7 linked regions of the Coturnix japonica genome follow. The protein of the gene in region 2 purifies or fractionates together with the protein of the main gene of each other region. This does not show direct contact. Links are inferred from orthologs where the notes say so. Each region holds a gene or a part of one and is shown on either strand. Other genes may lie near its edges.

Region 1 (4,209 bases), on a different chromosome or scaffold from region 2:
ATGAGCTCCAAGAGAGGGAGAACTCCTGGACTCAACCATCAGAGCTACAAAAGGCTGAGCACAGAGTTTCCCAACCTGCAGCCCAACTGCTCTTTAAGGGCACTCACAAAGAGCCTGCCAGCGCTTTATCTAAAGAAAGCTTCCGCAAACTGTTTGACCAGTCAATCAGAAGTGACTCAGAGACCATTCACAGAGCTGCCAGACTGAAGTACGAGAGCTTCTTTGGCAGTAGGAAATAGACGTCCAAAGCCAAAAAGACAAAGCAGAGCTGAAAATTGGGTTAAAAACCTTTTGGTAAATGGTAAACGTACCAAAAAAATTAATCATCTCATAGATACCCCAGAACGACATGGCCACGTGCACTGAGATGCACGTATCAGTCCAGCCACGCCTCTCCATGCAGGTATTGCACCATACAAGGCCCCACTTATATGCTCCTATGGGGACATTTTGCTACAACTATATGTGAACATGTCATTTATTAAACTGGAACCGAGGAGGCTTACTTTTACATTTAAGCAGTGTACGAGGAGCAACTGAATGGACTCTGAGGAGCTTTGATTTTTGAAACAGAGAAATACAGACGTCCTTTCCTGACTGACATTTTATGTCACAAATGAACAAATGGGAACTACGAAAATCACAGAATCACAGAATGACCTGGGTTGGAAGGGACCTCAAGCATCATGTAGTTCCAACCCCCCTGCCTAGCAGGGCCACCAAACATACACATTTACTAGATCAGGTTGCCCAGGGCCCCGTCCAACCTGGCCTTGAACACCTCCAAGGACGGGGCATCCACAACCTCGATGGGCAGCCTGTTCCAGGGCCTAACCACTCTCCTAGTGAACAACTTCCCCCTAACATCCAACCTAAATCTTCCCTCTTTCAACTTAAAACCATTTCCCCGTGTCCTGCTATTGTCGGCACTGTAAAAAAAACGATAGTGAACAACAGAGCAATGGTTCTCTGCCTCCAGCTGAACATCAAGGCTGCACTGTAGGAGCTCCTGGGTGGGATGAGAACCCAAGGAAGGAGCACACACAGAGGATGTGGAGCAACAGGTCACTGCGAGGGAACACCAAAAGTGCAACAGTTGCATGAAAATTAAATGCATGCTGAACTTGTTTAACTGCACATAGATACTGTGTTTGCCAAGACACAGCAACAAGAAGCAGCTGAGCATGTGCAGCCCACACTTCTGTGTAACCAAACTGAGATACAACTCACACCAAGGGGAGCGATCCGAAGGAACCCCATTAATTGGGTTGGATTCAAAGTGCAATTAACAAGTCTGCAGCTCAGAAGCGAGGCAAAAAACCATAGGAGCAGCTGAGCCCCACCCCTGCTATTCTCTCTCCAGTCTCACGCCGTAAAGGCTGGGCAGCCTTTCGAGTACGTGGGCAATGAATTAACTCGTGCCAGGGTTCCGCACGGCGCAGAGCCCTGGGAGCCGAGGGCCTTCACGAAGCGGCCGCTGCGACACGGAGCGAGTTTCGCTCCGGCTGCACAGATTGAGCGGAGGCGGCCCATAACAAAACCGACTGTGCAGCTCAACGTGAAGCTCGTTAGTTCGTAGTGACACCTGAGCGACGCGGCCCCTTCCCGTCGGGGAACGGCGGCGGAGCCCGCTGCCCTCAGCCCGGGACACGAGGGAGCTCCGCGGACGGAGCCGACCCGGCGCATTGCGGACATGAAATGGTGGAAGAGCCACATCCATATTGCGGGGGGGAAAAAAAAAGACAGAAAAAGTTTGGCACCGCCCGCCGCCGTTCCCCCAGCGGCGGACCGTCCCGCAGCGCCGATCGGAACCCTCAGTCCCGGCGCTCCCCGCACCGCTCCGAGGCCTCTCCTCGCCTTTCCTCCCGGCCGGGCCACGGAGCGGATGTGGAGCCCGAGGGCCGCCCGGAGCCCGGGCCAGGACGGCGGCCCCTCGGAGTGGCGGGAGGAGCGGGGAGAGGAGGAGGAGGAGGAGGAGGAGGCGGAGGAAGGCAGCGCGCTCCCGGCCCCGCGCCCCCCGCCCGCACCGAGGGCGGATTCCCGCCCCGGCCCCTTCCCCCCCAACCCCCACCCCCAGCGCACACCTCCCCCGGGAGGAGCCCGGCGGCGGCGCGGAGGGAGGGAAGGAGGGAGGGAGCGAGGGAGGGAAGGAGGGAAGGAGGGAGATCGGAGATCGCGGCTCAGCGCCGGGCCGGGCCGCCCCCCCTCACCTGGCGGGAGTGAGCCTTGGGCTCGGGCGGCTTGAAGAAGGAGTCGGGCAGCTTGCGGAGCCGCATGGGCAGCGTGTGCGGCACGTTGGCGCCCTTGGGGTTCATCACGGCGTTGAAAAGAGCCTCCAGGTCGGTCTCGGAGTCGCCCCGCACATGGACGATCTGGTGCCCCGCCGGAGGGGGCCCCGCGCCCGGCTGCTGCGCGGCGCCTCCCGGAGCTCCCGACACGTTGCCCGGGGGCTGCGGGGCCGCCTGCTGCGGGGCCGGGGGCTGCGCCGCCTGCGGCGGCTGTTGCGGCTGAGGCTGCCCGGGATCCATGTCTGGCTGCGGGACCCCCCCGGCGCTTCCTCGCGGGGCTGGCGGCGGCTCAGAGCGCTCAGGGCCGGCCCCGCATGCCCCGCGCCGCGGCTCGTCCCCTCGGTTCCCCCGGCGCTTCCTACCCCTCGGCGGGGACGGCCCGAAACGGTTCCGGCCGCGCGGCGCTGCCCCGAGCCCGGCCCAGCCCGGCCGGCGCCTCCGTCCCGGCGGCGGAAACTAACTCGCACAACACTCCAAACAAAAGTTCGCAGTTACGCCCGCCCGAATCACTCTGCGGCCGGCTCCGCCCCTCCTGAGCCCGCCCGCACCGTATCCGACCGACACGGCCCAGCTCCTCGCGGCTCCTGCTCGCGCCCGCCCGCACCGCCTCCCGCCCACCGGGCGCCCCGAAGCGCAGGGAGCGGCCCGGCCCCCACAGCGGCCCCTCGGTCTCCTCACGGCTCGGCCCGTCCCGCCGGCCCAGCGCTCCGCTCCGCGCTCCGTCCCGCCCGTGTCCCTTTTGTGCCGCCCGCCCGGCCGCGGAGCCGCGCCGCCAACCACAACTTTTATTTTCCCCAACTTCTCTTCCCAACTTCAGGCTCCCGCCGAGGGGGTGGGGAAGAGCTGGGAAGAGCTGCGGCGCTCCCCTCCCCTCCCCCGCCGCCCCGGAAGGGGGCAGCCCCCCTCGGGGAGACGTGGGGGGGGAAGGCCGGGAGGGGGCACGACCCGCCCGCGGGACCGAGGCGGCGGGGAGCCGGGCCTCGGCCTCACCTGGCGGTGGGACAGCGGCCGAGCAGCGGGAAGGGACGAGCACAGACACATCTGGAGGAGTTACTTTTATTAAATGGGCCGAAACTCGTGAAAACAGCATCAGGAGGGTCAAAACTGGGGAAAAAAAAGAAGAATCACAATAGTCCAACCCCGTGAGAATCAGAATAGTCCAACCCCGTGAGAACAGCACCAAAGACGGGGTGTGTGACGGGCGTTACACACATCTTTCCGTACCCACCGTCCCACCGCCCCGCACCGCGCAGCCCCCGCCCGGCCCGCCGAGCTCAGGGCGCGCCGCCCCCGAAGCGGTGGTACAACGTGTGCACGTGGCGCCGGGCCGGGTCCAGCAGCAGATACGAGAAGGTCTGAGCGTGGGCTGAGCGCGATGGGTAACACAGGCCGCTGCCGTCCTGACGGGAAGGAAAAAGAGGCAGCGTTAGTGCGGAGTGTGTCCCGAGCGGACAGTGCGTAGGATTACACGATTGGAGCCTGAAATCCAGCTGATTAAATACTCAAAGATCCCATCACGTCCCATTAAAACACAAATAAAATAGGTACGGGCTGCATATTAACACATAAAGTCCTTCTAACAACGCTTCTTTTTCACTCGGCGTTTAAGGAAAACCCCTCCGGAGCGCTCCGAGCAGCGCTGAGCTGTTACCGAAGGCAGTTTGTGCCACTGCTCACAAATATGCGAGGAGAATGGACGCCCCGCCCCAACCCGCTCCTGGCAGGCCGCCCCCAGCTGCCGGCAGCGCGGTGGGCTCAGCTCAGCTCAGCACCCGCTGCTGCCCGGCCTGCCCCAGCAGAACGCCCGGCACAGCACAGGAGCCTGAGGGGATTGTTTGGAGGCTGCTTTTCTTTCTGTCGGTTGGGTTTCGATGTATTCAATCCGGAATTCGAGCATCCAAAAGATCAGGAGATCCGTAGC
Region 2 (4,083 bases):
TAAAGCACTGAGGAATACTGAGGTTACCTGTGTTACAGGGTATGCTTTCATTTGAAACATAAAGCTGGTGTTGAGCTGTGCTCATCCTGGGGCTGCGAGCCTGCAGTTGAACAAAGATAGCAAAGTGAAAAAGGAAGGATGTGAGCTCAGCAGAGAGCTTGTTGTAAATCCCAAGCGTTGCTCAAGAGCCTGGGTTGGTGGAGAAGGGTTTAGGTTTGACAGTGTTCTTGTCTGGAGTTACCTGTGGGCAGAGCCCCCTCCGTCCTGTCCTTAGATAAGGGAGGCTTGGATTGCTGACCTATCACAGGTTGCTTTCAGCATGTGTTAGGCTCGTTTCTTGCCGCACTTGCATTTGGGTCTTTATCTCCCAGTAGTTAGTGAAGCTCATTGCTTGCTAACGATGTGCTGTGAGACACAGAAATCAGGGAGTTTTGACCCTGTGTGTCCCTCATTCTTACATAAGTGAAATTCAGTCATCACAGTAACTGGAAGCAGATTCACTTATGGGTTTGTGGCACGCGTTCCTTTGGGTAGTTCCAAACTTCAGTGTCGTTTGATTTCTCAAGGAATCTCAACACCCTTCCCCCGCCCCGTGTGTATCAGCAGTGCCATGATTATGCATTGACAGTCACTTGGATTTTAGCTATTCCTCAGTCATTGGAGCATTTTTATGTGCTTCTCATTGTGTTCTCCCTCCTTGTTGCAAGGGCTCAGTTTGTCTCAGCGTACGGAGCAAGTAAAACTGCTCTTGTGAGCTCTGTTTGCTTGTATCTACCATTTTATTCAGGTTTAGAAGCACGGTGACTTTCTCAATATTCTTTCAGCAAACCCTTGGTTAGGTGGCTCCTGCTGGGACAGGCTTTCCGTCCATTCTGCACTGTGATACTTTGTTATTAGGAGAGGGAATCTCTCAGGCTTTTAAGTACATACATCATTTAGAGTTACTTAAAAACAGTCTTGTTGACAAGCAGGTTTTTGAACTGTATTCTCTCAAGAGCTCTGGGTCTTCAGGTGGTACAGATGAGTTTGGTGTAGGGTAGTGAGTTGAGCATCTGAGAAGCTGATAAAGCTTTTCAGTTTCTTGTAGATGGGACTTGTATCATCTGGCATCAAAGAGGTTGATAGGAAGAAGCGAGGTTTTTCTGCTGTATCTCTGCCACTGAGGTCAGAGCCCAAACCTGCCTGAGGTGCCCGCTTTGGTGCTGCTGGCTCTGATCCTTAAACCTACATGGGGCTGTGAGGGTTTGTGTGCTGCTGCTTTCTGTCTGCATTTCTTTCAGCGCCGGTGGAACTGAGCCACCATGAATGGGGCTGAAAGCTAATACAAAAACCTTTTGTATGTATGATAACCGTGCCTTTCTGTGCTGGAAGAAGAGGAGAAAACTTTCTCAGTCTCCCTTAGAACTTCCCTGCAGGTATGGGGAGGGCAGGGGTGGTTCGTGGATTACATAAAGTGGCTGTTCTTACAGCTTTCTGGACTATTCTGGATTATTTGGCTTCCCTTAGGACTTAAATAACATTGCCGGAGTTGTCTCTTCTTTGCCTTTTCCTCAAACTTGAAGCACCTTCACTAGAAGTGATCAGAATAGACCACTAAAATGAAGGCAGCAGCGTAGTGCTGTGGCATTGCCTTCTGCTTTTCGAGGCACGGAAAATGAGCAAAGGAGCAGCTGTGGAGGATTTGCCCACTGTGGTTACTTAGTTTTGCACTGTCGGTGGTTTGGTTCGCTTTTGTCGGTGATGGTTTGGGGATCTGGTAGTGTGTTGGTGGGAGCAGCAGGAGGGGGTTGCTGGGTTTTGTTTAGGGATGTTTGCTTTGTACTTTTAAAACAACCTCCCCAGCCATTCTGCACTGAGTGGAGAGCTGCGGGGTGGGTGTGCTGGGGTAATGGGGGCTGCTGGGGGGGCTGGGATGGCAAGGGGCTGTGTGCTAATGCTGGCGTGGCAATTGGTGAGCTACTGATTTAAAGATTGAGGTCTGAGGTAGCAAATCTATCTTATTTCCTCTTCTGTGCAGGGCTTCCTTAGTTTAAGCTGCAGTTATGTTAAATTATGGCATTTGTAAGCCCCAAGAAATGTGATTCTGTGCACTCTGCCACCAGACCAGTGATCTGAGAAGATCGTACTGTTACTAATGTAACTACTGAGACATCTAACAGTGTGAGTGTAGTTAGAACTGCTTGTTCCTCCTCCGCATGGAGTGAAAGCAACTTGATAGACCTTTGTTCCCTCATATCCTTGAATTATGTGCCTGGAGTTCATAAAGCTGTTCCCAGGAATCAGATTGCTGATGGTGAAGTTGGGAGAAAGCAATTGAGCCGTTCACAATGCTATCTGTGTTGGCACTGTTTTGGAGTAAGCACAAACTCTTCTGAAGCTCTTAGGAGTGTGCGTGTTCTCCTTGGTGTGTTTCTTATCTGAAAGCCTTGAAGACTGTTACTGAGCCTATGTAATAAAATAGGTTGCATTCTTGTGTGTTCATGCTGCGCTGCTGTGTCTTGGGCTGGGTTTCAGCTGGGTTCTCATGACTTTTTCAGTATGAGAAGGAACTTTGCATCACGGAAACCACTGTTTTTATGCACTTGGTTTTGTGCTGCAAGGGAAAAATGGTCAGTGTTGTCTCATTGGGAGCTTGGCATTATAATATGCCAACCAAATAATCAGGCATTGTTCAGTAACGCCAGGTGGGAGGTATGGCCTGGCTCCGCGGTGGCATTAAGGGAGTACCGAGATTTTCCTGATACTGCTCTTTTGAGGAGATGCAAATGCAGATGAGATTACAGTGTGTTCTTTAAAAACAAAATACTTGAAAACAAAAACAAATCTTGCAAGAACTTCTGTGCCTCCTGTGTTGTTCACTGATGCCCAAAAGGAAAGAGGAATGTTCCAGATGACGAGTCATCAACTCAAGCGTTGCTTTTATCTTAACCTACACGGGTATATAGGCAGGTGTTTACATGCCTCCAAAAATCCTCGGCAGTGCATGGAAAGAACTTAGACCTTAATCATCTTTTCATGTCATAACAGCCCTTTCTCTTTCACATCTGAGAATTTTTGGGAGCCTCTCTCAAGAACCTTCTTTCATATTAGGGCAGGCAGGAGAATCTATTTTCCACTGAGCGCTGCTTGAAGATGGGAGATGCTTTGGGGTTTTGTGGCCTTGAGATGTATAGAAATGGGCAAGGATAAGAGAAAAGCCTTTAGTGTCCTTTAGTGACAGTAAATTCAGGAAAGATGCAGGTTTCCAAATGATAATTGGCCATGAAGGCTGGTGGGGGCTTCCTCTACTTGGGATGTTTTAATCTAAATAAGCTCTGGAGTGATTGGAAACATGAAATCAAGTGAATGCATGCCAGCATACGTATATACATATATTTAAATGGAGTTTATATAGGTGACGAATGCTTCAGGGTTCTTTGATGTGGAGCCATAGCCTCAGTTGATGTAAATTAGCACAGGTTCATTGAAGCTATGCCTGTTCGTACCAGCCTGATTTGATGCAAGATATCAGAATAAGTGCATTGATAAAGATAAGTTGCATCATATTAATAAAGATGTTAAAGAGCACTGGTCCCAAGACAGACCCTGACAATAGCAGGACATGGGGAAATGGTTTTAAGTTGAAAGAAGGAAGATTTAGGTTGGATGTTAGGGGGAAGTTCTTCACTAGGAGAGTGGTTAGGCCCTGGAACAGGCTGCCCAGGGAGGTTGTGGATGCCCCGTCCTTGGAGGTGTTCAAGGCCAGGTTGGACAGGGTCCTGGGCAACCTGATGTAGTAAAGGTGTATGTTTGGTGGCCCTGCCAGGCAGGGGGTTGGAACTACATGGTCCTTGAGGTCCCTTCCAACCCGGGTCATTCTGTGATTCTGTGATACTCACAATGTGGCACTTCTTTCTGCTGGAGCAGATATTCAGACCTGCACAACAATGTGGTGTTTTAAAATGTTGGTGTATTTTTTTACCCAGACATCTGAAATGTGTCGTCTGAAGCTGAAGAAATGGTGCTTTCAGGAAGATGCATTAGCAGTTCCTTTAAGGTAGCGAACACATAATGGATGTGTACATCACAGTGTCGGTTCTGTTT
Region 3 (4,268 bases), on a different chromosome or scaffold from region 2:
TGCAATCAGGTGTTGCAATCACTACTAGTCACTTCCATGGGCTATTGTAAGGGCAGCATTAATAATTTACCTAGGATATGGCACTTCCTTTCCTATGCACTCATCCCTATATCAACACAGCAACCAGACTCTTCCTTTTCTTTAATGAAGAAGAAAAGAGCCCCGTGGCACTAACAGTTAAGGCTTTGTAGAAAGTTGTGGGCTAATGAAAACAGCCATCTGCTGGGGAAAGCTGCCCCCAGCCGAGCAGCACCCCGCTGCCACCAGAGCCATCTGGAAAGGCAGAGAGCAGGATCAGATGTGAGCGGGATTGCAGCCTCCGAGCACAGCTGTCCGGTCCCAAACCATGGGAGCAGGATGCCTGGAAACTCATTTTTGTCTTTTTAAGCAGTATTAGCTTGTGGAAATGTGTGTGATGGGGGTTAACCGGTTTGAAAGGAAAGATCAGGTTATATGAGATATGTTTGCGACATGTGCAACTCAAAGGTACCACCAGAGCCTACTGCCTTGCTACGGGGACAAGGAAACCTCACTGCCATGGAGCAGCTCCAACATCACCCCCTGCACTCAGTGCCTTCACCCCGAGAGCTTGTTGTCAGCATGGGATGCTGGACCAGGGACACTGCTCCTCTCCAGGAAAGCCTGAGCCGTCTTTGTACAGAGGAGACCCCATGGGACGTGCTGAGCTCCAGCAGCTGTGGGAAAACAGCCCTCAAAGAGGAGAAAAGCCCAATTCCCACCCGCCCCGAGGTGCCCTCACCCCATCCGGCAGCAATACAGTCAGCTCAAGAGTCAGCTCTTCCCACCCACAGCAGAATACTAATTAAAAGCATGTTCAGAGCCAGAGCAGTGACGAATGCAGCCCCCAGCACTGCACAAATCTGCTTTCATCTGAGTCATGTTTCGGTTTAATCACTGAGGTCAGAGTGCTGCTGCACTGGGGGCAGTTCCACCCCGGCCATGGGGTGCGAGGAGCACCTTCTGAATGGGGCAAGCTGTAGCCTGTTCCTCTTCTCCCCAGTGACAGTACACATTTTGCACAAAGAACCTCATTAAAGTTATTTCCTATGCCCCCATGAACGGGATTCACATTCTCTGCAGCCCCTCTGCTGCTGCCATGCTGAGGATCTTCCTCCACACGTCTCCCTCAGCCCCTCCAGATCAGGACAGACAGGAACAGCCCTACTTTCCCCATCCCCCTATCCCGTATTTCATGCTGAGCCACACATCAGGAACGGTGCTGAGACAGCTGGAACAGCTCTCCCATCCTGCAGGGCACAGCAGCCATGTGCCCATCCCGTGCCAAGCCCTATGGGCACAGTGCCTTAGTGTAAGGGCTGGTCATGCTCAGCTACGCCTGCCCCTATACCTGCCCACAGCCCTGCTGGTGCCACACCTGCAGCACTCACAGAAAACCTGTTTCCAGCAAGGGACAGAGAAATATGTATGTGCTTGGATGTAGGCAATTTACAAACATCACTCGTGACCTCAAGGATGAGCATAAGCATCACTGCACAGACATGCTCACCTTAGATCTTCCTACCCTCTGCTGCTGCACTCCTGGGAGCAGCGACAGGCAGCCCGGACACGAGGGCTCATACTGTGTGAAGCAGCTGAAAGGTGAGAGAGACCCACCTTCACTGCACCTCTGTAACAAAGGACCCCAGATCACACCACCACCCCAGCGATCAGTCTTTCTGTAAAGCCCCCATAGGGGAACCAGGGCTGCAGGGAGACCACAGCAGGAGGTGTGTGAGGTCAAACTGCAATGGGACCAAACCCACCCTGCTGCCCCCCAATCCCCACATCCCTGCACACAGCAGCTGAGGGCTTCCCAGCCTGCAGCACTGCCTCTGCCCCAGGAGCAGCTCTCAGGAATGCTTTGAGGTGGTCTCAAACCAGAGGAGAAAGCGTGAACAAGAGAGATGAGGGACAAGGATGCATCACCCACACTATGCAGAAGTGGTGAGGAGCAGCGGGTGCTCCCACAGGCAAGTGCCTTCCCTGAGACCCTCCACATATACCGAGAATTGGGCCCTGCAGCTCTGCCTGGGGGTTGGCCATGGCAGCAGCTTTCTCTGGCCACAGTTTCACTCCGCCCTGGATGAGCGTTTCCTCTCATCCCTGTGGTTTCCCTTTAGCAGTGATGCCCAGCAACTGGTTGGGAACGCCCAGCAGCAGGCTGGTGCCCGCCAGCTGTGCAAGGAGCACGGACACCCACAGTGACATCCCGCTGGGGCTCCCAGCTCCAATCCCTGCCCCTCACCTTCCCTCCATGGTTCCATGCACGGAGCCTCGCAGTGCACCCTGCCCCATCTCCCTGTGCAAGGAGCAAAAGGTTACAGTCGTGGCCACCCTGGACATGCTGCAGAAGCAGTTTGCTGAGACACCGATGCACCCAGGAGCGCATTTTGGAAGCGCTCAGACATGCACCAGGATTTGCACAGGAGTGACTCACTCCTCTTTCAATTCCCTCCATCCATGCCCTCCCCAGCGCCCCAGGCTCCACCAGGTGAGCAGCAGCATCAGCAGCAGGATGCCTGGCAGCAGCTGGGGCCACATCCATCCCAGCCGGGCAGGCGGCAGCACAGGGCAGGCAGAGAGCTCAACCACAGCACACAGCCACACACACGCACTCAGGAGCCAACCTTCAGGGCAGAAATGCGTCTCCATGCCAAGAGCTCGGCGCTTTTCCTCCCTCTTCCCGACTGGCAGCTCGGAGCTAACAGGCTCAGCATTCATCCCCCCGCGCCGCGCGGCACATGGGAACAGAGGAGGGGGGTGGGGGGGAGGTGGAAGAGAGAAACTCAAATGAGATCCAGACTCAGAGAGCAGTTTCTTTTTTCCCCCACTCGCTCCCCCCCTGGTTTCTGCTGGAACCACCTTCTGTCTGGAGGGCTCAGGAGGGAAGGGAAAAAAAAGGGGGGGTGGGTAGGGGGAAAAGGCAAAAAGGAAATGTTGCAAAAAATAAATAAATAATGGAATATGCTGAACGTGCTCCGGAGCGGGGCTGCTGCTCCTCCTAAAGTGCAGAAGCTGCTGGAAAGGTAGGAAGGGCAGAGGCAGAATAGAAGGTATTAAAGATCGATTGCCTACCTGAAATCCGGTCCCTCTCCATTACTACAGGATATATTTAGCATCCGCGTGTCACGGCCGTCCCTTTTTTCGGTGGCGTCCCCTTCTTTCACCCACTCTCCCTCCCTCCTTGCCTTGCCTCCTCCTCCTCCAAAAAAAGCTCTTTGTCTGGTCTAATTTCTTCAATCTGTTGCAATCATGAATGCATCCAAATTACCACATTTCCATGTGCTGATCATATGTTTGTGCTCCAAACTGAAGTAGCTTTGTCTCTTTGAAATGAAAAGAAAGAGGAAGGGAGGAAGAGAAAGGAGGAAGAAGGAGGAAAAAGGGGGTGCATGACCCCAAAATCCTGGAACTCCCCGAAATACTCCACCAGGCACAGGAAGAATGGAAATCCCAAGTCCTCTGTGAAACAGTCTTAAAGCCACAGCTCGTGAGTGTCGGGGGGAGCACTCCGCTCACCGCAGCTCTGTTAATATCCACCAGGAGATGCTTAGGGAACTTGGCTCCTCGCAATAACAGCGCCAACAACTCATCCAGCGTCTCCAACCTCTCCCCGCTTCCCCAGCCTGATTTTGCTGCTATTTCCTCTATCCCCTCCTCCTTCCTTGGCGAGAGCGTTTGCGAAGAGCAAAGCTCCTGCGCGTTCCCTCCACCCTGCCAGGTCTGAAGTTTCGATTCATGCATAAACTATTCGGCTGATGAAGGCTGACTTCACTCCCGGCACAGCACCACGGGCTGCTGCTCTCTGCACATGTTGACCCTCCCCTGCAGCCGCCGGAGAGCTTCACGCCTGCTCCTGGCGAGGATTCCCTGCTCTGCCTTGGCAGTTCCCTCTGCTCAGCCTCGACGGAGGGATGTGATGGGCCGGCCTTGCGGAAACTTCCACTTGGATATCGGCCAGGGCAGGCAGCAGGTCTATGGCTGCAACACAGGGATGCCTGTGCTCCCTGTCTCCAACCTTTGGGCACACAGTGGGGATGCCCCCCTCCAACTAACCCTGGGGGGTCACCACTGTTCCTCTGTGCCCCCCAAATGCAGGGATGCAGCAGATGTCCCCCTAAGTGCAACACAGAGCTGCTGTGGCAGATGGGGAGCACTGAGCAGCGGAGCTGACTGCCCACAGCCACCCCCCGTGCCACCCACTGCAAGTGCCTATTGACATCCTGCAGCCTGAGTCACTCAGCCAG
Region 4 (4,099 bases), on a different chromosome or scaffold from region 2:
TCACTAAAGCGGAGCGGGGTAAAGCTGAAAGTGAAACTGCGCGGTAATAGTTTCATTTTCAAGTCGGGGGGGGGGGGGGAAGTGGAAACGTCGCCGACATAAAAGAACGCGAGCGGAGAGGCTGAGGAAACCGTTCTTCAGTGGTTGTTATCATACAGCGGCTGTTTGTCATTCTTTAAAAGCGATCCGACCACTTCCAGTAACAACAAAGAATCCTCAGATTTAACAGAAGCGACTCGGTTCATTCTTTTTATTCCCGTTAATCATCTGCTCAGCCAGGGGCTGCGTTTCCCTTCGCCTCCGAGCGTAGCGGCTTCTCCACCTTAACAGACCGTCTTAAAGCAGCGGGGATGGCAGCAGCCATCTTACGGGTCGCTGTCACATCTGCCAGGCTCCGGGGCAGCTTTAACGCCGGGCAGGGAACGGAACGGGGCAGGTGCAGAAATCGGGAGCTGCTATTTCTTTTTTACAAGTGCACGTTTTACACGCACCGGGATCCCCCTCCCTCTCGGTATTGCAGCCCGAGGTTGACACATCAAAGAGCTGCGGATCGCACACCAGAGCCCAGCCTCAATCCCGACCTTTTAAGCCGTGGTGCCCCGCTGTGTTAGTGCCATTTGCGGTTTCTCACGGCTCGACCGCGATTTTACATACGTGCGACAGAGCGTAACTTCCTCGGGACTCCTGCGCGCTCAGCGCAGTTACTGCTGTGGGATCACTTGCTTAATTGTTGCTTTCAATTAAAAGGCAATAGACATAGGATGACCCGCTGTCAACACTCGGTCCGGGACCAAAACGAGACGTTCCTGGACCATGCAGGGAACGGAGCAGAGGATCTTTGAGTTTTACGCTTAAAATAAACTTACAGATATGTATAGACTGACTTGGAAATCACCTACAAACCCGTTGAAAAGCAGCCGCAAAGTGCAAAGCGTGGAAAAGCACCGCTGAAGTCAAACAAACCGTGGCCCTACGAGGGGCAAGGGAGGCGCGTGGGCTCCGCCGGTGAAGCGGCGCTGCCGCCCCTTTGCCGGGCTCCTCAGCCCCTGGGGTCGGGCCCACACTCGGCGCCTGTGGCCGCCGCCCGCCACCGCTCAACTCCGCGCTTCTCAGCAGCGGGAGGCGGGCACCGGCTCCCCCCGCCCGGCGGGACAGGAGCCGCCCGCGGAGCGCCGGGGCCCTCCTCCCGCCCCCCCGGGGAGCAGCCGGCGGCGGCGGCGCGGCGAAGGGGAGGGTCTAGGGCCGGGCGCACCGCGCCGGCCGGCCGGACGGGCGGGCGGCAGCCGCCGCGCCGCGGGCATGGCGGAGGCGGGCGGCGGGGCCGCGGCCGGTGCGGCGGGAGGCGGCGGGCCTCAGCAGGGCTCCCCGGCAGCCGGGGGGGTGGCCGCCGCCTCCGCCGCCGGGGGCCCGGCTCGTAGCGCCGCCGAAAGCCCCGGGGGGCCTGGCTCGGCGCGCACGGCCGGGAAGAAGGCTCAGCTGCGCGCAGCTCCGCGGGCCAAGAAGCTGGAGAAGCTGGGCGTCTACTCCGCCTGCAAGGTACCCGGCCGCGAGCGCCCACCCGCCCACGGAGGGTGGGGATTGACGGAGGGAGGGGAAGGCAGTGCCGGGCCGGGCGGGAGGCAGCGCGGCTGTTAGCCCGGCGCTCCCCGCGGAAACGGCGGGTCCGGCAGAGCCTCGGGTCCCGCTGCCCCCGGAGCCTCGGGAACGGCGGCGTGCAGCCTCCGCCCAAGGGAAAGTTGCGGCCCCGCCGTCACGTAGCGCCCGACGGGGCCCTGCCCTCCGCCGCGCCCTGCCCCGGCCTCCTACACCGCCCTGCGTTGGGCGCTGCCGCCCTGCGCTGTGCTCCGTAACACGCCCGTCCCTACACCTGCAGCCCGCTTATGGACGCGGGGGGGCCGCGACCTGCCTGTTCTGTGCGGGTGCGGAGAGCGGTTAGAGCTGTGCTGCCCCGGGGCTCTGTGACAGCGGGAGCGGTATCGGTGCGTGTGCGGTGCAGGGCTCAGCGCAGGCCGCGCCGGGGCTGTCAGGGCGATTCCTGGATGCGCAGCGAGCTGACACGCTCCGGTTGGCAGCGCTGATGCAAAACACTCCAGTAATGCTCTCGGTGCTGAAAATAATTGAGCAGTTTGCTGGAAAAGTGTGTTTCTGTTCTTTCTGTTCCCTTACTTTGGGATTTCCAAGAAGGCATGAAGTGAATATCCCAACTAAATGCCCACTGACGCGAGGGAGCATCCCTGTGCAGGTCCGCTGCCCTGCTTGGTGATGTGAAGAGCTTGCTGTCTGCTGGAGCCATGTCGCAATACTGTCATTTGAGGGCAAGCTCAGAAAGCCACGTGCCTCAATGTCTCTGCAGTTCACCAATGTGTAAGCGTCTTTGCTTTGGCCTGGTTGAGTCCACGGCATGATGTGAGGTTACACTGTGTCAGTCAGTTAAAACCAGCCAGTCTGGAAACCTGCTCCTCTCTTGGAAGGTGGGGGAACGTGGTTTGAAGCTTTCCTAGTGCGATGAAACAGTGTCTCTGCACTCTGTGCCTCAGCAGCCCCTGTGCGCTGGAGGAGAGGTGGGTGTTTCAGGGAGGGCAGGGCCTGATGCCAGCCCTGCCAAACCTCTCCCAGGCTGCTGGTGGCACAGTGATCACTCACCTACTCGTGCCCTGCAGGGGTGTCTGTATTATCCCAAGGGTCCTGCAGGGAGGCCCACTTGGTGCTGTCTGGTGGACCTGGGTGTGGGGCTGGAGTACCCTGGGCTTCATCCTCATCCCTTGTCAGTAAGCAGGCACAGCACAGTACTCAGTGTGACTCCCTATGCGCATTCCAGTGCAAACCTGGCCTCTGCTACCTAACTTTCCTTCGGGAATGTACTGGCAGACAACATTCCTTCGGGTCTCAGAACATCAACAATGAGACACCCTTGTAAACTCATCAAGTGCTTTCTCCTGTGGGACAGGGAGAGGATGAAGCTGGGTGGAAGGATGTGTTGTTTTTCTTCCTGAACACCTGGCTCCAAACTGCTTGGGCATACAAGAGTCTGTAGCAGCACAGAGTGGAACATTGAGCTTTTTCTTACTCTGGGTTGCAACTCCTGTTCCACTTGTTCTGTGTGCGTGTGAAAGCTCAAACAGCCTATCTCTGAATGAGGTTTCTGTGGTAGCAGCCATGTTGATCTGCAGGTCTATGTAGAGCTGTATAAGTTGGAGGGCAGAAAATGTGTGACAGTTTCCTTAGTGTTAACAACCTTTGCCTAAGTAAAATTCACCCCACATTGCTGCTACTTCAGCACACAAAGTGTATTACAAGCTTAACCCCCAGAGATGCAGGGAATGGCAAAGACCGTGGGTTTGCTGGGGTGAGCAGCAGCGTGAGAAGATGGAGAGATGTCAGTGGCTGGGAGAATGCCTGGGGTGGGGGAGGAAAGGTGCCATGCTGGAGAGAAGGCTGCAAGTACTGCTGAGCTGAGTGAGAACTGAGGTTAGGGATCTGCTGCCCTGTCCTGGGACTGCAAATACATGTTTGCTTGTTTTTGTTTGAGTGGTTTGTTTTTGTTTTCCTGCTAAGGAATTGAGGCAGGAGAGTGGTCACCATGGAGCTTCACTGCTTGACTTTTCTCCTGTGAAATAAAAAGCTCGGGGTAGAAGGGCAAGAACAGACTCTTCTGTGTAAAACAGCCTTTTAAATGCCCGAGTCTGTGTGGGAAGAATGTGCATTCTGAACAATAAGAGATATGTAAGGAGTTGGCAGAGTATCCGTGACTTTTAGAAGTACACAGTAGAGCTGTATTTGCGCAGCATTTTGCATTTGGCAGTCACTATATCTGCACACATATGAATGACCGCATACATCGTTTTGGTTTTGCCCGGTGTGAAATTCAGCATTGGATACATGAGTTTGCAGCACTTTCCATAAAAGCGGCACTGTGTCGCTTACACACATCAATATGTTTAATGAAGATGAAGGAGGAAGTCTTTTTATTTTTTTTCACACTATTGGTTTGTGAAAACATAACTTTCTTTCCAGTCCCACTGGGAGTTTTTCTTTAAAAATATGTTGAAATAGGTGCTATTTTAGTAAGCTAGATTTTCTGTGCAATTGGTTATTTCTC
Region 5 (4,118 bases), on a different chromosome or scaffold from region 2:
CCCATTACAAGTGGTGTCCTCGAGGGGTCGGTTCTGGGGCCCATCTTGTTTAATATCTTCACTGATGACCTGGATGAGGGGATTGAATGTACCCTCAGACAGACACTGAGGCCTTGGAATGTGTCCAGAGAAGGACAACAAAACTGGTCTGGAGCACAAGTCTTACGAGGAGCGGCTCAGGGAGCTGGGATTGTTTAGCCTGGAGACTCAGGGGAGACCCCGTTGCACTCTACAACTTCCTGAAAGGAAAGGAGGGGTTTGGCCTCTTCTCCCAGGCAACAAACAGGACCTGAGGAAATGGCCGTAAGTCATATCCGTGGAAGTTTAAGCTAGATATAAGCAAGAACTTTTTCTCTCAGAGAGTGATCAGGCACTGGAATGGCTGCCCAGGGAGGTGGTGCAGTTGCCATCCCTGGCAGTGTTCTGGATGAGGAGCTACGAGCAGGATCGCTGCTGTTGCCTACACGAGTTCTGCTGCTCAGGACAAGGCAGGGAGAGGTGCTGGCTCAGGGCTGGACGTAGCGTGTGACTGGGGGCTATGCCCATAGAGCGGGACAGACAAGGAGCTGCTGATCACACTGCCTGCTTACAGAACTCTGCTTACAGGCATAATACGCCAGCCAACACATAGTTAAAATGACGTCTTGAGCACGCTTGTATAACACCCGTGTCCCAGCACCGCCTCCCTACCTTTGCTTCTGCCTGCAGGCTGGGAGCATGTTTATCCAGCTGTATCACAGCGTGAGCTCTCAGTGGGCTTTAGCAGGAAATCCTGCAGCAGCCTGGGCTCTGATCCCTTCACCTCAGCACAAAGCTTTCTTTTTTTGGCATTCCACGTGATTGCCCCGGTCTTGACTCAGCACTTTGCTGGCCCGGCAGCATTTAATGGTTTGGTTTCCCATCACCACCTCCTCCAGAAAAACAGCAGCTCAGAAAGGCCGCCATCTGCTCGGAGCGAGTGTGAAGTGCAGCTTTCATGCAGTTTAGATAGAAAGCCATTGTTTTAGAGCCGTGGCCATCGTGCTACCCCAGTAACAGCCGCAGCTGAAGCGCTCTGCTGCCAGGCTGTGCTGGGCAACGCTGTTTCTCCCACCATTTTTCCTTGTACTGAACTGTAAGCCGCCCTGTTACTTTAGCCCTACACCAGATGCTAATTTCACTCTGCTCTATTGCACATCACCCGATTTACTTGTTATGATATCTACCATCCCTCAGGGCCGCTGCACACAGAAAACCCACCCGCCCGCGGCACCGCGAGGGGCGCAACCGATCCGCCAACCGCGGGATCGAGCTCCGCCCGGCGCTTGGCGGCGCCGCCCTCCCCTCACATGACCGCTGTCGACGCTCTTGCCGCGCCCGCCCGCCCCTCGGCAGAGCCCCTGTGCCGGCACTATGGCCCCGCGCCGCCCCTACGGACTCGAGTTGTTGTCGCTGCTGCTGCTCGGAACCTGCGGTGAGCGGGGCGGTGCGGGGTGGGTGTGGGTGGGTGTGTATGGGTGCGGGTGCGTGCCGCTGTCCCTGGGGCCCGTGACGCGGCCGGTTGCCGTAGTGCCGTAGTGCGGGCGGGGGGGAGCGCGGCGGGGCCCAGCCGGACCGGGCGGCGCCTCCCAGGGTCGGAGCGGGGCGAGGAACCCGCTGCGTGAGGCCTAATGCAGCCACACGGCTGTGCGTGCAGAGGGGAAACGGACCTTACGGGGCTCCTGCTTGTCCTTCTGCTGGGGCAGAATAAAAAGCGAAATAAGGACGCTCTGATCGGGAGCCACAGCTCTGGGTGTGAAGCGCGGAGCTGCGGAGGGGCATCGCAGGCTTAAGGCAGGCTCCGTCCTGCCTATAGCCTGCCGTGTGACGGTGGGCTCTGCCGTCTCCAACGCTGTTATACAAGCAGGGTGAGAGGAGCTGGGATGTCGCTCCGTGCCATGAGGCTTTGGGGCCTCTGCTTTTCAAACGGTGTGCGATAAGCGTCGCAGTTCATACGGGGCATGAGGAACGTGTGCTTTCTTATGGCATCTGGAAGGAACCCCTACTGGGGAGGAAACACACCGATATCTGCTTTTACAGTTGCAGTTACTTGCTGTCAGCATAACTAAGTAGGCCAGGGTGTGCCTGGTCTGCCCTATGAACTTGCTTGGTGTGGCATTTCTCTTTGCTGTCCTATTTGGTAGCACCTATGCTGAAATATCCCCTTTGGAGAAGTTAGTTTCAAGCTGTTTTCCCTGCGGAGAGAGCACCTGTGTGTGTGTGTATGGGTTGCACTGGTTGCCCAAAGCTTTAGATTTGGCCACGTTCTTTCTGAAACGAGAAGCACTGGTGCACAGGTGCAGTATCAAATCCCTCCTCAGCTCAGAAGGGAAGGACTTTTAGTGTTGCTGGAACTCCAAACTGACTCTTGGCAACGAGTTCCGGTGCTACGTGGTAGCAGATTGCAAAGCTGTTATCTCTCGGTTGCACCATCCATCTCTGCACAAACAGTAACTGTTGTAAAAGCCACACTGCACCGTTGCTTTAACAACGTGCAGGCTCCTAGCCTAGGCATGAGACGTACTGCTTGGATCTGTTACCCTGCTTACTGAGAATCAGTAACTAAAGAAGTATGGCTGTTGTCAGGAGACTCTTAGGGCTTATTTAATAAGTTGTTCTGTGAGCTGTTGGGGACAGGGTGCGTGTTTATGTGCCTCCTGTAAATAAATAGAGTGTGGCTTGGGTTACTGAACGTGATGCTTAAGTGATATCATCAGGTGTTATGCTTGGTCGGGTGGGGTGATGTATGTGCTGCCATTGTTGAAGCTAGAACTCCTTGAGGTTTACTGCTTCAGGTTTAGAATAAACCATTTGAAAACCTTCATTTACTGCCTTGTCCTTAGTCTGAAGTGTTCTTACCACATAATAGTTCCATTAGGGTTCCAGCACTGATAAATTAATGGTGTGGTATTGAGCACAATTTGCTTCAGAGCCAACATGGTTAAGTTTCTCCTGGCTCTACCTCGGGTACTTCTTACTCTGAACAGCATCAACAATGCAGGCTGCACTTGAATGCTGTTAAAGCCAACTGTCTTGTGTGCGGAGCTTTGTGATGCTGGTGGAAGAGAGCCAGTATGGGGCAGGGAGGAAGTCCTTAATGTCAAGGTGATGCAAAGCGTGAAGTACTGTGGATTCTGTGTGTTGAGGGGTGGAAGACTTGAATGGCTATTGAAGAGAACTGTGCAATCGTAGTTACCATCACTTTAGGGAAACGAGCCTGACTAACATCAACCTTATGTTAGTCAGGAATGATGCTTCTAACGTTTCGATCCTGTCTGTTTTAGGGAACTGTGGCAGGCTGGGAATGCTGAACAAAACCAAATGAGAACTGGCTTTGGGGAAGTCTCTGTGTTGGGAGTCAGGCTGGGTTAAAAATCCAACTACAAGTTCTCTAAAACCTTGAATGAAATTTAACATCCGTGTCCTTTGAGCCAGAAATTGTAGAGATGCAATGAAAGCACACTGATCTGAGAGGTCAGCTGGAGTCGTGCCATTAATAAGACAACATGGAGACTCTGGTCGACAAGCACTGCATTGTTCTAAATGCTGTGCTTGTGCAGTTTGGTTTACTCAGTTTCAGCCAGCAGAAAGCTAAAGCTCATCTAATTTGTTGGCCTTGGTCAGGCAAGTAGACTATAAATTATCCTCTCAATTAGTATTTAGCATTGATGGTGGGCTTCCTAGTTTTAACATTTATTAGATATCTGGCTATCGGTTCAGTGTCTGACAAATAGAATCCAATCTGAAATCATGTACTACTTTGTAATGAGCATCAAGTCTATGTTTTAATAGCTAATAATTGTATCTTACAGGTTTTTTCCAGTCCTATGCAGTGGAAGTAGATGTAAAGGATGCCTCTAATGTTACATGCTTGTATGCACAATGGATGATGAAATTCTTGATAAAGTATGAAACAAACAGTAGCGATTATGTAAGTATTTGGAGGAACTCTTGTTGAGAACTGCATTTAGCATGAAATAAAACTATTTGATACATTTTGTATTTAGTTTATTGGCTTTCTTGATAAAGGTAAAAGATAAAAGCCTAAAATAATCATACTGATCTTGTGCAAGGCTCCATCTAACCCTGCCAGGTTTATA
Region 6 (3,929 bases), on a different chromosome or scaffold from region 2:
GTGAGCGGCTCGCACATCAATAGGAGTCAGAGTCAGCCGAAGGAGCGACAGCAAGCTGTGCAGGAAGCACAGACACAGCAGCACCACTGAGCCTCACCACGGGCTCACTTCCCCCAGAAAGTGGTTTGATTTTTGCAGGCAACCCCAGCAAGTGACACGTCAGCAGGAGGCACAGGGCTGGCACATGGCTGACACCAGAGCTGTCCCAGAGGCACTGGAGATGGGCACTGACTGGGGGGGAGATGTGGGGGCCACAGCTCTGTGCCCCGGGTCCCCCCCAGAGCAGCTGGTGTTTGTTGTATGCGACCCCTCCTCTATTTCTGTGGATAGTTCTTAGAGGAGAAAAAGGGGAATCAGCCCCACCATGAGACGTGGGGAGATGACACACATTGATTGGCACCCGACAAGGAGTTAAGCTGCTTTTTAGAGCTTTGTGGCATTGCGCAGCCCAGCTGACAGCAGCATCCAGAGGACATTAACCTTGAACCACAGCCTGGTGCAATCTCTAGAGAAGATCATGTGAGCAAAGCCTGGATTTAACAGAGCAATAGGTGAAAGGGAGGAGGAGAAACAGGAGCCTGTAAGGAGACAGACATTCTGTCAGACTGGAGGGAAGACTCGGCTCTGTTTGACACGTGTGTGACCCCAGGACTTCTCTTTTCACACCACGACAGGCCGGGCCCTTTGCTGTACCCCATGGCTGCTCACCAGGCACAGCACAGGGAGCGCTCCCAGGTGCTCACACTGCTTTTAGCTGAGTGCTATAGAGGCTGCCAGCACAGTGTGAAACATGATGGGGGGGAAATGAAGCAAGAAACACACAGCCAAGAGCTGAGAATCCACAAACCACCGACATCCGCAGCTCCCGCCCTGCACTGCCCTGATCCAAGCAGGTCTCCCATAAGCAAAGCTCTGCTCTGGGTCTCACTGGGCCGTGTTTGAACCCAAACCCGTACAGCACTGAAGGAGAAGTCCCTGCACACCACCCTGTGTGCAGCCCAGGGAGCAGCAGCTGCCCTGCAAAGTGCTCAGCCACGTTCATCCCTGAAAAACAGAACTTGCACAAAGCAAAACAACCTGCTCAGCCTCATCCCACTGCAGGCATCTCCTCCCAGCGCAGGCACACAAAGTGATGAAGGAAGTGGCTGCAGAACATACGCACAGTACAATAAGAGGCACCACAAAGGACTCAGTGCTGTGGGAGCGAAGCAGCCCGTGGGGATGGTTGCTGCCTTGAGCTGCGCTCACTGCTTGCTGGTCCATGGGTCCTTTCAGCCCTTTTCTCCAGGGATATCAGCACAGACACAAACACCACATTGAGTTTTTACGCCCCTCAGCTTAATGGGCTCCTGACCTACAAACTCCCCCCACGCCACCACAGGAAAAGGGCTGTGAACAGCATCCACACAATGTGCTGCGCTATGGGCTCTCGCCAAGTGGGACAGCTCTGCTGCAGCGGCTGATGGCGGCTGCCAACCCATCAGTCACAGGAGGATGAGGAAAGGGAGGGAACGTCTGGGAGCAGCAAGGAGACAGGAAGAGGATTCTCCTCCTTCACTGCAGCTCACCCCTCCCAGTGGTGCCCAATGCTCTGTGACCCCCTGACCACCTGCTCTATGAAACCTTCCACAGCGCCAGCCCAAAACCCAACACAGATCCCTCTGCAGCCCATCCTGCTGTGGGGAAGCTCCCGGGGCAGGTTTAAAAGCCTGAGGGCTGAGCCCTAACAATGCTGATGGGTTTGCTGCCTCCGTGGTTCATCTCTCACTGCTGGAGAAGAGCCAAAGAGCAACTGATGTGAGCGGGGCTGAGCACAGCATGACGCAAGCGCTGAGGTAAACAAGCTGTGCAGAGCTCAGAGCAGAGCGGCTAAAAGTAGCCCCAGAGTTAAAGTTCATCTTTCTTTAGCTTCCCTGCAAGGGCAGAGCACGACAGCCTGAGCTCAGCAGTGGCACCACAGCTCCACGTACCCCAACAGCCACAATCGAGCAGTGCTGCCATTGAGGGAAACAGCCCCACGATGGGCTCTGTGTGCCTGGATGTACCTGAGAGCATCCCCCTGTGACACAACTTACAGGGGCTTCACCAACAGGAAGAGGGAGCAGAGGGAGAACATTGAGACACCCTGAGAGCGCTGCAGCCACCTGGACGGGGCTCAGTGCCCACGGTGCAGCTCCGCTGCGATAACAGCCACCCCCACAGCACAGCCCAGCCCCGGCAGCGACCTGCCCCGCTGTGCTCTGGCTCTCAAAGTGCACAGCACGGCACAGCACAGCCCGGCACAGCACGGCACAGCACGGCACAGCACGGCACAGCACGGCACGGCACAGCACGGCACAGCACAGCACGGCACAGCACGGCACAGCACGGCCCGGCACAGCGCGGCGCTGCCACACACCGGACCGCAGGGCTCAGCTCCATGTTCCCAGCCCAGGCGTTGTACCGTGCACCCGGCGCAGTGTCCGCCATGTCGGTCCCGCCGCTCTCAGCTCCCCGCGCTCGGGGCTCAGTGCCGGGCTCTGTCGGTGCAGCAGCTTCGGGGCCTCCACGATCGTCCCGTGCTGAGGCCCGTCGCACCCGAGGCCCGGCCCCGCTCCCCCCGCTCCCTCCCAGTCCCGTCCCGTTCCCTCTCGCTCCGTTCCCCGGTTTCCCATAACTCATCTCACTCTCACCGTCGGTTCCGGCCGTGCCGGCGGTTCCCGGTGCCGCTGACGGTCGCGCTCCGGTCGGTTCCCGGTTCCCGACTGCGGCTCCCGCAGCCCCGGCCCCGCCCCCCTTCACGTCACGCGGGGCGCAGCCAATGGCGGCGCGGCGTTCCGTCCGCCTCGGGAGGGACGGGCCGCGACAGCCAATCAGCGCGGCCGTCCCGAGGTGACGTCACGGATCGCGACGGCGCCGCTTGGGGGCGCTGCCCCGCGCCGGCTGTTCCCGGATGGCGCCGCCTCCCGCCGCGGGGCGGTGCTGGGCAGGGGGCGGCGCGGGGGGAGGTGGCAACTGCCGGGAACAGCCGTGCGGGAAACCCGCTGAGTTCCGGGCAGCGCCGTGACGTCACCGCGCGACCCGCCACCGCCGCCGCCTCTTAAAGGGGCCGCACCCCCCGATGTTCCCGGAGCGCAGCAGCGGCCCCGCGCGGAGCGATGCGGGTCAGCGCCCGGCACCGCCCGGTCCGCGCTGCGGGGACACCCCCCCCCCTCCCAGCAATGGGATCCCGCAGCTCCGGGCCGGGCACGGCCACCCCCCGGTACGGACTGTCCGACCCCAGCCCACCCCGTGCTGGATTCAGGCCGTTTCCCCGTCCCGTTGCTCAGCAGGCGCCATGCTGCTCCGTTACAAAACAGCCTTTATTAGTTGTGCTGCTCACCAGGATGCAGTCATACAAAACAATCTGAGCTTTGTCCAACGCGCTGCGACCGACGGGCGGCAGCTCCGCCGCACCGAGCGGGACACGGCGCCGCCAACGGGGACACGCAGCCACGGGCACAGGGCAGCGCCGCGGGGCGTCAGACAACGAGAGGGAGAACGGTCAGAGAGGAAAAGCGAGTTTATATACGTGGGTACGGCGGCAGCGGACACGGCTGCGCGGGGCGGAGCGGGGCCAGAAGGAAACGGCACGTGGGGCAGCGCCGGGCGGACGGGACGGGAACATCCCACCGGCCCCGCGCACCCACATCCCGCACGTGCAGCCGTGGGGCCGCAGCCTCCTGCCCGCTCCTGCCCCGCTGCCGGCGGCGGCTGCGTGTGAGAGCGGTGCGGGCTGAGCCGGGCGGTGCCGCGTGTGAAACTACAGCAACAGAGCGAAGGCACCGAGAGGGGAAATGGGGAGAATGGGGGGGGGGAAGTGCAGGACGTGGGCACGAGCCGGAGCCGCGCCAGGACCCCTGGAGGAAGGAGACGCTCCGAAACGCTCCGGATGTGCTGGATGTCGGGGC
Region 7 (3,500 bases), on a different chromosome or scaffold from region 2:
AATGGCTCTTTTCCTCAAGAATGTGGCGTTTCATGGAATCCTGCTGGATTCAATCTTTGAGGAAGGAAACCAAGAGTGGGAGGTGGTATCCAAGTTGTTAACAAAAGGCATCAAGGATGGTGTGGTAAAACCCCTGAAAACCACAGTCTTCAATAAAGAGGAGGTAGAAGCTGCCTTCAGGTTCATGGCGCAAGGAAAACACATTGGCAAAGTTATGATCAAGGTAACAAGATAAGGATGTTGATTCCCTGATGCCTGTCATCCTCTGTAGGTGACAGTATTGGGTATTTTGATCCAGTTCAACTTGAAGTTGTGTAACAGCATGGGGTTATGGCTTTTGCTGCTGACACTGTGGCATGTATAGCACTGTCAGGTCTGTCACTCTGAATCCAAAAGCTTGATTCCCTATTGACTGGAGGAGCATAGTTGCATGTGGAAAGACTTGTGTTTGTGCATCCAATTTTAATGTGCTTTTCAATGTTTTTTGTTTGTTTTGTTATGGAAGATCCAAGACGAGGAGAAGCAATATCCCTTAAGGTCTGAACCAGTAAAACTCTCTGCCATCTCCCGAACTTCCTGCCCACCTACCAAGTCTTACATCATCACAGGGGGCCTAGGAGGATTTGGGCTTGAGTTGGCACAGTGGCTAATTGAGAGAGGAGCACAGAAGCTTGTACTGACATCTCGCTCTGGCATACGAACTGGTGAGCAGAAAACACAGAGGGTGGGGAACGCATTTTCCTTTCAACTGACCTCAGTTTGCTGTTTCTCTCAATTTTTAAGTGTTTTATCAGCAAAGAAGAACATCTTCATAACTCTTTGCCCTCTCTCATGTATATTCTCTCACTTCAAACAAGCTGTGATTCATTTTGTTCTGAAGGATGAAGTATCTTTGAAGTCTGCCTCTTTTTTCCATCTACTTCTTTCTTCTTTTTATTCTGCATCCTAAGTCTATCAAACCATGTTTGTCTCTTTCTCTCTTACCCAGGATTTTCTTCCTGCAGTCTTAATTTTCAGCTTTGTTCCCTCTATGAAGTCTGTATCCAGTTACATCACCGCTTTGTTCAGTGGTAGTAACTTTGCTAAAGATGCTCTTTCCCTTAAATTGAGTGTGGTTGCTCACTTTTGCTCCTATATAAGGCTCATATAAAAGGCCGTACCCTGCTATCTAATAACACCAGAAACTTTTTTACTGGATAATTGTGGATAATTTGATTGCAATCTCAGTACTGGGATTCCTTATCAGTGTTGATCTTCAATGCTCCCTTGGGGTAATTCAGCCCTATCAAAATTTGGGTCTTTATGAATTTCTTTGTTCTTTTAGCAAGTTCACAACTTCTGCAAACATAGTTCAAATCTTTTTTATACTTCTCAAGTTCTGGTTGTCCCACTGTTGCCTGCTGTCTTGATCTAATCTTGCTGCTTTTTCCTGTCTTGGTAACTCATGTGCTCTCCCACCCTGTTTTCCTGAATCTCTTGTCTTTGTGATCTGTTTAGGGTACTCTAAAACTTGAGTGATTTCTTTCTACCATGCAGGTTTTGTTCGTTGTTCCTCTTGTAGCTGAACTGGGATTTGTTCAGCTATCCAGTCCCTGTCTTGTCTTTCTGACTACTGTAGGAAGCAGATTAATAAAAGCCAGATGGTTTGAGTGCTTCATCCCATGTGTATGTTTGTTTGTTAAGGCTACCAGGCTAAATGTGTCAGAGAATGGAAGGCGCTGGGAATCCAAGTGTTGGTCTCTACCTGCGATGTTGGAACTCTAGAAGGAACGCAGCTTTTGATAGAAGAAGCTTTGAAGCTCGGACCAGTTGGGGGCATCTTTAATTTGGCTGTGGTAAGTGCCAATAAGGCTTAGAAACTTGCAAGAGACAGCAGACATTAAAAGTGGCTTTTGCCACTTTTGTGCAGTTTTAGGTTCTGTCTCTGTTTCAAAGGGTGTTTTCCTTTGGCCTGAGGTAATGATTGAAGGCTTTTGGGTCTTAAGGTCCCTTAACCTGGGAAGCAGCAGTATGTGACCAGCCAGCTCAGTTTTGGGTTAAAGTGAATGTTACCCATGACCTCTAGGGACAAGAAGAACCCTATGTAAATTGTACCAGTTGAAGTCTGCAGTGGCAGCACTGAGAAGAGCAGACTTAGCAATAGATATATTGGCCTTCTTATATTTCATGACATCCAGGATACGTCTGTGCTGTAAAACTAGAAAAATGAATTGTATAGTGATATCCTCTTGTATCTGTGAGAAATTTAAACATAAACTGAGATACTGATACCATTTCTTTGTTTTAAACCAATCTAATAGGTCCTTAAAGATGCCATGATTGAAAATCAGACCCCAGAATTATTCTGGGAGGTCAACAAGCCCAAGTATTCAGGCACCCTTCATTTGGACTGGTAAGTATCTGTGGAAAGGACAAATCTGTGCTGTGTTTATGATCACTGAGTTGACCAGGCTTCAATATTTCAGTCTCAGATTAGCTTTCCACAGCAACATGTGGTTTCCAGTTTTTCTAATGGGTTTCTTTGTCACCTGTTCTATTTCAAGGGTGACTCGTAAGAAGTGCCCAGACCTGGACTATTTTGTTGTGTTCTCCTCTGTAAGCTGTGGAAGAGGAAATGCTGGGCAAAGTAATTACGGCTTTGCTAATTCTGCCATGGAGCGTATTTGTGAGCAGCGGCATCACGATGGGCTCCCAGGTAAGATGAATTCATTCTCTGCATGGAAAAATCTAATCCTACCAGACATTCAGAGGAGAACCAACTCACAGGGAATCTCTTTTTGGAGTGAAGACTGTTTCCTGTTGCTGCTGTTAACCTAAATCATTCAGATGTGAAAGAAAACTGATCCTTCTGTAAATAGTGCAAGAGAAATGCAGACTTTTGCTTAGCTGTTTTTAGCTCTCTTTTGTTACTATGTGCTTAAATTAGTTGCTAAGTGTGTTCTTCCTTGTGATTTCTCCACCAGGCCTGGCAGTCCAGTGGGGAGCCATTGGTGATGTAGGCATCCTGAAGGCAATGGCAAACAAAGAGGTTGTGATTGGGGGAACTGTTCTCCAGCAAATCAGCTCATGCCTGGAGGTGCTCGATATGTTCCTGAATCAGCCTCATCCTGTCATGTCCAGTTTTGTCCTGGCAGAGAAGGTCTCTGTGAAAAGTGAAGGAGGAAGTCAACGGGATCTTGTAGAAGCTGTTGCTCACATCCTTGGTAAATGCAAAGTCTAGTCATTGCATAGTTGGTGCTCATTTTTAGAAGGGGTCTTGCTGCAGTGTGCTCTGAGAGGAATAGTGTTTTCAACCTGTAGTGGGAGGAAAGTGAGGACTGATGTGCTGTACCTCAGCCTCTGATTGTTTCTAGAAGCATCCTTTGCCTTAGCAGTCATGGTCGTACTGCTGGTATGATTATTTCCATAGAGGTTTGCATGAGAACCTGAGAACTGTGTGATAGGGTGACTGGAGGTCTGTCTGTTCCATTATTTTGTGTCCAGTAGTGACCAAAAGTTTG

The links.
Region 1: the proteins of HIF1A (region 2) and YAP1 purify together in Homo sapiens (affinity purification with western blotting; 3 studies listed by BioGRID and IntAct, with this or other methods). This does not show direct contact. The link is inferred for Coturnix japonica from reciprocal best matches to the Homo sapiens genes HIF1A and YAP1.
Region 3: the proteins of HIF1A (region 2) and SEPTIN9 purify together in Homo sapiens (affinity purification with western blotting; 4 studies listed by BioGRID and IntAct, with this or other methods). This does not show direct contact. The link is inferred for Coturnix japonica from reciprocal best matches to the Homo sapiens genes HIF1A and SEPTIN9.
Region 4: the proteins of HIF1A (region 2) and KAT2B purify together in Homo sapiens (affinity purification with western blotting; 4 studies listed by BioGRID and IntAct, with this or other methods). This does not show direct contact. The link is inferred for Coturnix japonica from reciprocal best matches to the Homo sapiens genes HIF1A and KAT2B.
Region 5: the proteins of HIF1A (region 2) and LAMP2 purify together in Homo sapiens (affinity purification with western blotting; 3 studies listed by BioGRID). This does not show direct contact. The link is inferred for Coturnix japonica from reciprocal best matches to the Homo sapiens genes HIF1A and LAMP2.
Region 6: the proteins of HIF1A (region 2) and STAT3 purify together in Homo sapiens (affinity purification with western blotting; 4 studies listed by BioGRID). This does not show direct contact. The link is inferred for Coturnix japonica from reciprocal best matches to the Homo sapiens genes HIF1A and STAT3.
Region 7: the proteins of HIF1A (region 2) and FASN purify together in Homo sapiens (affinity purification with western blotting; 3 studies listed by BioGRID and IntAct, with this or other methods). This does not show direct contact. The link is inferred for Coturnix japonica from reciprocal best matches to the Homo sapiens genes HIF1A and FASN.

Annotation. Positions count from the first base shown.
Region 1 is NC_029516.1:163,478,071-163,482,279, forward strand, and holds the start of YAP1 (transcriptional coactivator YAP1), read right to left. Parts: upstream 2,801-4,209; 5' UTR 2,529-2,800; coding exon 2,211-2,528; intron 1-2,210. Other genes in the region: CFAP300 (cilia- and flagella-associated protein 300), read right to left, coding at 3,563-3,688. UniProt on the Homo sapiens protein: Transcriptional regulator with dual roles as a coactivator and corepressor. Critical downstream regulatory target in the Hippo signaling pathway, crucial for organ size control and tumor suppression by restricting proliferation and promoting apoptosis.
Region 2 is NC_029520.1:49,088,880-49,092,962, reverse strand, and holds the start of HIF1A (hypoxia-inducible factor 1-alpha), read left to right. Parts: upstream 1-1,283; 5' UTR 1,284-1,305; coding exon 1,306-1,415; intron 1,416-3,959; exon of another isoform or gene 3,960-3,974; coding exon of another isoform or gene 3,975-4,036; intron 4,037-4,083.
Region 3 is NC_029533.1:3,250,072-3,254,339, reverse strand, and holds the start of SEPTIN9 (septin-9), read right to left. Parts: upstream 2,801-4,268; 5' UTR 2,743-2,800; coding exon 2,649-2,742; intron 1-2,648.
Region 4 is NC_029517.1:32,849,232-32,853,330, forward strand, and holds the start of KAT2B (histone acetyltransferase KAT2B), read left to right. Parts: upstream 1-1,299; coding exon 1,300-1,536; intron 1,537-4,099. UniProt on the Homo sapiens protein: Functions as a histone acetyltransferase (HAT) to promote transcriptional activation. Has significant histone acetyltransferase activity with core histones (H3 and H4), and also with nucleosome core particles.
Region 5 is NC_029519.1:15,317,026-15,321,143, forward strand, and holds the start of LAMP2 (lysosome-associated membrane glycoprotein 2), read left to right. Parts: upstream 1-1,318; 5' UTR 1,319-1,392; coding exon 1,393-1,453; intron 1,454-3,830; coding exon 3,831-3,949; intron 3,950-4,118. UniProt on the Homo sapiens protein: Lysosomal membrane glycoprotein which plays an important role in lysosome biogenesis, lysosomal pH regulation and autophagy.
Region 6 is NC_029542.1:4,519,762-4,523,690, forward strand, and holds the start of STAT3 (signal transducer and activator of transcription 3), read right to left. Parts: upstream 2,801-3,929; 5' UTR 2,673-2,800; intron 1-2,672. UniProt on the Homo sapiens protein: Signal transducer and transcription activator that mediates cellular responses to interleukins, KITLG/SCF, LEP and other growth factors. Once activated, recruits coactivators, such as NCOA1 or MED1, to the promoter region of the target gene.
Region 7 is NC_029533.1:4,307,664-4,311,163, forward strand, and holds part of FASN (fatty acid synthase), read left to right. Parts: coding exon 1-223; intron 224-505; coding exon 506-704; intron 705-1,683; coding exon 1,684-1,835; intron 1,836-2,300; coding exon 2,301-2,392; intron 2,393-2,543; coding exon 2,544-2,695; intron 2,696-2,963; coding exon 2,964-3,203; intron 3,204-3,500. UniProt on the Homo sapiens protein: Fatty acid synthetase is a multifunctional enzyme that catalyzes the de novo biosynthesis of long-chain saturated fatty acids starting from acetyl-CoA and malonyl-CoA in the presence of NADPH.